Schizosaccharomyces pombe: one gene and its partner. The protein of the gene in region 2 interacts with the protein of the main gene of each other region in a pairwise test. Each region holds a gene or a part of one and is shown on either strand. Other genes may lie near its edges. The genes, in order: uba3 and but1.

Evidence for each region.
Region 1: the proteins of but1 (region 2) and uba3 interact in a two-hybrid assay, tested with the Schizosaccharomyces pombe proteins (one study listed by BioGRID).

The regions. Positions count from the first base shown.
Region 1 is NC_003424.3:459,660-464,159, reverse strand, and holds uba3 (NEDD8-activating enzyme uba3), read right to left. Parts: upstream 2,445-4,500; 5' UTR 2,222-2,444; coding exon 887-2,221; 3' UTR 561-886; downstream 1-560. Other genes in the region: SPOM_SPAC24H6.13 (Ca(2+) transporter), read left to right, coding at 4,484-4,500. UniProt on the Schizosaccharomyces pombe protein: Catalytic subunit of the dimeric uba3-ula1 E1 enzyme.
Region 2 is NC_003424.3:4,532,720-4,536,553, forward strand, and holds but1 (thioredoxin family protein But1), read right to left. Parts: upstream 1,669-3,834; 5' UTR 1,530-1,668; coding exon 798-1,529; 3' UTR 607-797; downstream 1-606. Other genes in the region: dynactin microtubule-binding subunit, p150-Glued Ssm4, read right to left, coding at 1,955-3,834. UniProt on the Schizosaccharomyces pombe protein: Acts as a negative regulator of the NEDD8 pathway. Has a role in meiosis.

The DNA of each region.
Region 1 (4,500 bases), 4.1 Mb from region 2:
AAGAAAAGCGTCAATAATGTATGTCCACGGTCAAATATCCGTTGAGAGCAAAATCATGTTTTTCTACTGTATACCTACGTAAACGAATAAAATAATTACAAAAATGAAAATTTTAATTTATTTATCGATTTTTTTTTTTTTTGGGAAAAAGACTTATTGCTTTGTTTCGAACGATTTTTAATTTCTATTTATTTGAAAATGTAATAACTTGTTTTATTTAGGCGGATTTAATAGCTGCTGAGCAAATACTAATTCTGTTGATGTTATTGCTAAATGATATCGCTTGTTTTATTCCGATGAAAATTTTTGAAAATTCGGTCGTTAAAAGTCATGTTTTTGCAACATGAATCAAAATAATTGTTTATGGAAAAGTAATGTCGCAAATGCCTAAACAAAGGGCAGTGCATGTTTTTATCACTCAATGACAATGCTCGTAGCAATAAAATTAATAGCATAAAAAAAGGCAAATAAAATTAACTTAAAGCATTTGATTTACTTTCTATTTTGCAATATACTTTGCACATTGCATGCTTATATATGCTAAATACCTAACTGTATGCATACGTTTCGTGTTTGTTGTCTGTTGTAGATTTGTAATTTAGAGTTGAATAACTTTGATTTGGTTTAATTGTTTCTTTTTTTAAAATTAAATAAGATCTTTTCAACTTATATATTTTTTTTGAGATGTCGTTAAACTGAAGACATTGAAACAAAGTTGAAATGACATAACTATAAATAAGCAAGGAATTATAGTAAGGAGCGTGAAGCAGATTCTCTATCTCTTTAGTGATATCTCTTTTCAATTTATAAGTATATTGAAATGCAGCGAAACTGCTATTCTACACAAAAATATCCACAGTCTATTAGCGATTGATAAACATCAAATCTAGCATTCTCTCAACTGAACAGACAAACTTGTAGAAAGATTTTTATCAGTAATTACAAGGTTCACATCAACCGACGTAATACTTAATATAGGTTGAGATAAATTTTTAGATGTCGCAACTTGAAGAGCTGGAGGTGAAGCCAAGTACAGAGGGGTTCCTGCAGCTGTTGAAACCGAAGGATTTTGTAGATTATAAGATTTAGAATAATGATTTAAAATATCCTTTAAAGTAACGGTAGATGAGGCTGAAATATCATAGACTTCAGACAATACGCCGCAAACAGGACAATCTGATCTCTTTTCCAAATTAAATGTATATGTATACGCTCCATCTTCACCGACATACATCATGTAATTATCCAAAAACGGATTGCTTTCCGTCAAAATTTTTAATGCTTCGTTACAACAGCTCGCGGCAATTATGGCATTTGTCGACGCAACCGCTGGTATGATACGCTTTACGATTCCTTGCACGAAAAAACGATTGATTGAGGAAGAGGGTATTTGAAATTTATTGGCACGTTCGATAGAACGTTTTACGAGCCAGTCAATATGTCGGATATTATCTGGTTCAAAATTGGAATTTTTTCCATCCAGCGGTTCAAAAACTTCTTGCTTAGAAAAACTATCAACTGAAGCATTAAGAAAAACTCGAGGCCATTCGAGTAAATATGCCCATTCGACGCAATGCTCCGGCAATCGAGGAGTATTCGCCAATGTACATATGGGATACGAAATCTTAGGCGTAAGCATGTCTAATGAACATTCATAGCAACTTGTTATCGTTGGAATGATTACTCGGGCTTGACCCTTAAGGCCCTCTGAGCCGCCATCGACCAACGGTATAAGATCTCCTGTCTTAGCAATGGCCACGAGAGTTGAATTGATCCACCGTCGAGCTTCTACTGAATCAAGGCCACATATAATAAGTTTAAACTCCTTATAGAATTCAATTGTTTTGTCTTGAATTTTCCCATAAAAAGGTGTTACTACCGTAGAAGGGATTCGTTTCATAATCATTGATGCGGCAACGTTGGCTTTCGGCTCATCAATGTTGCTTTCATTAAATAGAAATTGTCGATTCAAATTTGTAATGTCAATAGTATCCATGTCGATTACGCTTAAATCTCGAAATCCAGATAATGCTAAATCCTTTAAAATCTCGCATCCTAGACCACCAGCACCAATAATTAAGATTTTAGAAGAAAAGGCAGACTTAAGAGTTTCTTCAGGGTTTTCTGGAGCATCCAAGTTGAAAGGCCCTGGTTTTTTGAGACTTTGGATCCATCCAGAATGCCTGTGACTACCAGCTTTACATACGTCTGAGGAGGGCATCTCCTACAAAAAAATAATCGTTTTTTGAAGTATTTCTTAAAATTTCTGAGTCAAGAATTTGTATTCTCTATTAATGTCAACGAAATGCGTTGGAGGTTGGCTTTGTTCCCAATATTCGTTACATGTAAACAGAAAAGGAATTTGTGTATGAAAATACTCCAATGCTGTCAGGAAATATGGCTACTCATTTAATAAGAGGATAATGAAATGGAGTATGAAAGTTGGAAGATACTTTTTAACATGTAATAATGTGATATAGGTGTAAGTAACAGTCCTACCGACACACGCAGAACAGAAGAGTAACTGATTTCACTTCGTAATGACAATACTAGGTTACCAAAGCAGAATTAGTTGAATAAACGTCTTTTTTCATTTTATTTGAAATTGGCTTTTGTATTGGCATAAATTGACTAAGAATAAAAAGCTGATAGAAAAAATGGATATACTAACACCCCAACGCAAAAGCTCCATCCCACAAATGAGTTTGCATAGATTAATACTTGCTCTACAAATGCGTTGGATAATCTGATATTATTAATAAACTATTTGCGCATAGTTTTTGAAATTATTCAGGGCGAACTGGGTTGATTAATTTACGCAAACGTATACATTCCAAGAACGCATTTGAGCAAATGCAACGAATACGTAGCAAAAGAGACGTAAGTTATATTGGAGGAGTCTCGTTCTCAACTCATCTTCAGTTTACCTATATACTGGTGTTGTTTACAGTATTGCGTCTATATTGTAAAACGACAATACTCATCATTTTCTAGTATGGTTAAGTAATAGTCGAGAACAAAAGCACACGAGAACAGAGGAATGTCCGTCACATCAAGAAATCAAGTATTAATGAAAATGTTTCATCCAAGCAACCGATGGTTAAAATAGCATGAATAAACAAAAATCACCTTTTGCTTGAATAATTTTGTACATTTCTTTTTTATATAATTGACACTTAAACGTGTAGTTTAAATATTTCTATTTACATTTCTGCTGCATACAATATAGCTCGAAAATGTTGGTTTACATGTAAGTGCGAAACTATGACACATTTGAATAGAAAGCGAAGAAAAAAACCTTAAACCTAGAAAACTTGCAGGTAGAAAATGATTGCTCACATACGTATGTGATTACATATACTACAAGCATAGAATATTAAATTCTAAATTCCTTTTTTTTTTTACTTACACCATGCTCTCTCATATCATTATTACCTACTAAGTATATGAGGCTGTGTAAAGCCAGCTGTCATTTTCGTTGACATGATGTGCAATTTGGTTTTTCTTTATTGGTGAAATTTATGAAATCCGAGATTGACCTTTACAACACTTTAGCGCGTTCAATAACTGGCTGGAAATGCTTTATTCTGCGTGCGTACAAGATAGGGCAGCGAAATTTTTTTGGTGAAAAGTCCGGTAAAGACACTCGCTGTTGCTTAACGATGTCGTTTAACATGTTCCAATGTGTAAATATTACACTCCCGACTAAGTCGATGGTGGCTTTTTGTGTGACATGAAACCGAGTTAGCGAATGATTGTCACATAAGTGAAAGTCCGTGTTTTATGAAATTATTATCTCAATTTGAATTATATCACTAACACTTGTACTTCACTATGTCCTTAACAACCAGCAAGAATTGCATGAGTTCGTTATTGTGCGAAAGAAGGATGATTTCGTTTTTCTCTCTTTTGCTAGTGACTAACTATGTTTATCCTTTCCTAAATGAATCCTTTTAACGTTATCATAATTTTGCTTCGGTTCTTATTTTACCTGGGTGTGGGATCTGCCTGTTTTACAATAGCAAAGTGACATGTATGCGTCGCAGTTTCAATATTTGTTTACATCTGAAATTGCGAGACGCAAATTCACGAGATTGGACAGTGTTAAGGGAGAATAGGTGAAAAATGCTGGTAATATCTAATTCTGGCTTTGCATTTGCCAGCGCAATATCGCCAATGTAAACAGAACCTCAAGGCTTTTTAATTGGAGATGAGCATTTACTATTAAAAGTCCATGCACCATCACTTGCATAATTTTCTTTCGCCCACTACCTTCTAAGTCATTAGGATTTTTTCTTTTCATTGTTTTAATTGCTTTATTAAACAACAAAGAAGGTTTTCTACTGGGGGTTTGGATCATTCTTTTAAAACTTCCGGTGTTGTGTGTATCTTTCACAAATCTACCCAACTCAACATCGCACCATTCTCTCATTTTTCTTTCTCCATCTGCTGATCGTGTCAAGCGCAACACTCTTTTGACAGTATGTCCGACAGCAGCAG
Region 2 (3,834 bases):
TAATAGTTTCAATATTTTTATGCTTCAAATGTCCAAAATTAATTTTGGTAGGTTTACACAAGAATAAACCAACTGTAATTATATCATATAATTATATTTCTTAAATATATATAATTATAAAGATTAGTTTACAACGATCTCCTTTAGTATAGGGGTAGTACACAAGCCTGTCACGCTTGCAGCCCGGGTTCGAATCCCGGAGGGAGAGAATATTTGATTATTTTTAATTTTTGCATTTTTTTTATTACTCAAATTTTGATTACTTTTGTTTGAACAAAATAATACTATAGAAGCCTGCACTGTCATTTTTATTTGAATAGAGGAATTTAAACTAAAATCTATCAGCTTGGCTTTGTTCTGAAAAAGTAAATGCTTCAAAAAGAATATGCCAAATTATTTATTGACTGATTGAAATTGATATCGGTGATGTTTATAATTTGATAATCAGAGTTGACTTTTTTATTTATTTAATTTATTGGTTCATTGATTTTTTTTGTTAAAGATATCATAGTTTAATAAATTATTCCTTACACTTTTTTTTTTTTTTTTTTTGAAAAATTTAATAAATACCCATCCGTACCTTATCGTAAATTTTTGACAGCATAATTTATGGTACATTGTAATTTATTTTGTGAAATATTAAATATATATATATGTATTTATAGAAAGTATTTTCTATTCCATTGAACCCATGTTTTGTGGTTTTATGTGTGACAATATCATCAACTTTTGCTGAAACGTAAAAAAATTTTTGTTTGTCATTTTTTTTTTGAACGAGTGATCATCATAGAAGGCTTTTAAAGCAACCTTCCATTTTCAATTGCCAAAAATCGAACAGTTTCTTGAACTGCTGTTATTAAAGTAGATACACAAGTGGTAGTACGAATGGGAAGGATGTCGCGTCGACGCCCTATGGAATCTATAATTACAATTGCATCCAAAGCTAATTTTGCTCCTCCAAGAGGATGCAGCATTCCCATCTCTCTACAAATTTCATTGTTAGAATCCGAAATAACTGGTAATGAAAATTGTAGAGCACGAGGCAGATGGGCTTTCCATTGACATATATTTTCAACCGTATCAGTAGTGATACCAATCACATCTGTGTTGTAGGATTGCAGACATGGATAAAAGTGACTAATGACAGATATGTGAAGTGGGACGTTGTCAACATAACCATAATCACCGCTGACATTACCAAAGAAACAGAGAACAAATGAAGAGAATAGTATAGGTAATTTATGAATTTCATTTATTCCACCGATACCATTTACAACGTAAACGGGTTTGGAAAGATTAATGAAACATGGTTCAAATACTACTTCCATATCTTCTTCCCTAATGACACGTGCATGGTTCATTCCGTTCCTAAACGAACTCTTTATATGGGGATGCATACCACGCGTTTCTTCATCTTTCGTAGAGCTTCTTCTTTTTTTTGTAGATTTAACTCTTAAAGTACAATTTTTCTCGTGAACAGCATCACGAGTCGAAATGGGAAACTGGAAAAGGTTTTGGTCGATTTCCATTTTCTAACCCTTTCTCTGCAAGAAGGTGAAGAAACGCTTGATACGCTTTAATAGAAAAAAGGTAACAAAAAAAAATAATATCGCTACCGTGCAATGTGAAACAAGCAGTTTCCCACTCTTAAAGTGGTTGGTTTAGGGTAAGTAAACTTGTTTATTTACATGATTCTCACGTCGACAATTAATCTTCAAAGTCGATCTAATTGGCCAAAAGTACGTTAGTTTAATACAAACATGAACCAATCAAATACTCAACCCCATATTTCGTTAATGCATAACAGGTCACAAAAGAGGTTACAAGTCGATCTTAAACTTAAAGCAACACCATACAGTACATTAATGATAAATTCGTTAAAATATGGCAGTTAAGATTAGAAGCTAATTTTCGGCGGCTATTAATAAATTGAATTATATATCTCATTAAAAGATTAGCATTTTTTGGAAAGAATGTCTGTTAACTGACAATAATTAAATAGCTGTTGATTGTGATGAAAACTGGGTCGCTCGATATCTTTTTTCCAATTCAAGGCCAGCTGCTTTTCTACTGAAACGGGTTTAATATCTGCAACTAATTTTCTTATCTCCTTGCAGGCAAAGGTCAATGGGCTTGGAATTGAGTTTTCAGTATTAGAATCCCGTAAACTGTGTTTGAGCCAGTCTATATTTTCACTAGTATTGTCACCTTGTGGATATTTATCGGCCAGTTTCATCCTTGCGGTCTTTAGCTGTTCTCTTAAATTACAAAGATTTTTCTCATACTGTGTCTTTAATGTTTCAAATTCTTTCAATGTTCTAGAAGTGATTTCAGAGTTAACTTCATTCTCGTATGATTCAATTTGTTCTTTTAAACGTTGGTTCATTTCTGTAAGGTCGTCTTTCATACTACTTTCCTCCTCCACTTGTTTTGATAGTTTCAATTTTGCACTGTTTAACTCGTCTATTACAATATTTGCTTTCTCAAGTTTTGCATTTAATTGCAATAATTCCTCTTGAGAGTCTGATAAGCATAGTTTCAAATGTTTAACTTCTGTCAAAGCAGGTTGAGAAGATATTAGTAACTGAGATAGCCTTTGAGTTTCCTCTTGCACCTCATTTAACTTTTCCGATTGTCTTGCTTCTATTTCAGTGTTTAGCTGATTCAAAGTTTCCAAGTCTTGAATTTCTTCTGTTAGTTTTAATACTTTATGAGACAACAAAGCATTTTCCTCCAACAGTTGCCTTCTTGTCTTCACACCATCCACTGAAGAGTTGTTGGACTTTAAGTTTAATAATTCTTGATAAACTGTGCTATTCCAATGTACAAAATTTTCATTTGTTAATGAAAATTGTAAATCCAAACTTCCCGGTACAATATTTAAGTATCTATTCACGTTAGATATTGTCAATTTCTCAGAAAACGGGTTTTTAGGAATTTTTACAAGCTCAGTTATGTCGACCTGAACCTGTTTTAATTGCAAAACCTTAGAAACCTCTGAGACCCCAAGGAGACTAGATGGTGTAACTTGTGTAGTCCAGTTGTCCTGGCTTTTAGGAGTTTTGGAATTCAAACTTCGATCAGAGTACTTATAATTAGGAATCTTTCGAATTTGCAACTTTCGCTTTCTTAGATACTTTATTTCTTTCTGCATAGCCAAGAATTTTTTGAGAAACTTTTCACGCCTAAAATTCCGAGGTTTTTCAATACTGTTTTTACTGCGAAGGAATGTCAACTGAGGTTCAACTTTCTCTAATTCCTTATTTAATTTATCAATTTTTTCTTTTAAGGCGGTATTTTCACACATCAATTCATCCAAACGACCCTTCCTTAATTCTGACTTTAAATTCTCTTTTAAATAACTTCCCTTTGAATGAGGAGTAAATTTTTTTTCACATTCCTGCAAAACGTTGTCAACTTGCCATACAAATTCCTCTTCCATAAAACTACTATCGTCAAGCCCAGACAATTTGCTCGTATCTGAGTTTAACAAAGTAGTGTCAAAACTTGATAATTCTTCTGTTGAAAAATTTAGCTCATCTAGATTTTCAGTTGTAGATGAAGTATAAAACGTAGCTGTCTTTGTGGGAGTAGACGAATCAATAGGTGTAATGCACAATGGGCGTGCCAATGATCTTTCAAATTTTGAGGGCTCCCTACGTGATTTTTGTTTAATTGCTTTAGTTTTTTCCATAAAATTTGATATGTTTTCTGATCCTTTTTTCCTTGACTTGACGACACTTGGTCTTTTCATCACATTCGAAGAGCATGCGCGTACAAATATCCCTTTTCCTTTCTCACATGAAAAATATCGTTTCCCTTTTACGCTTCCAT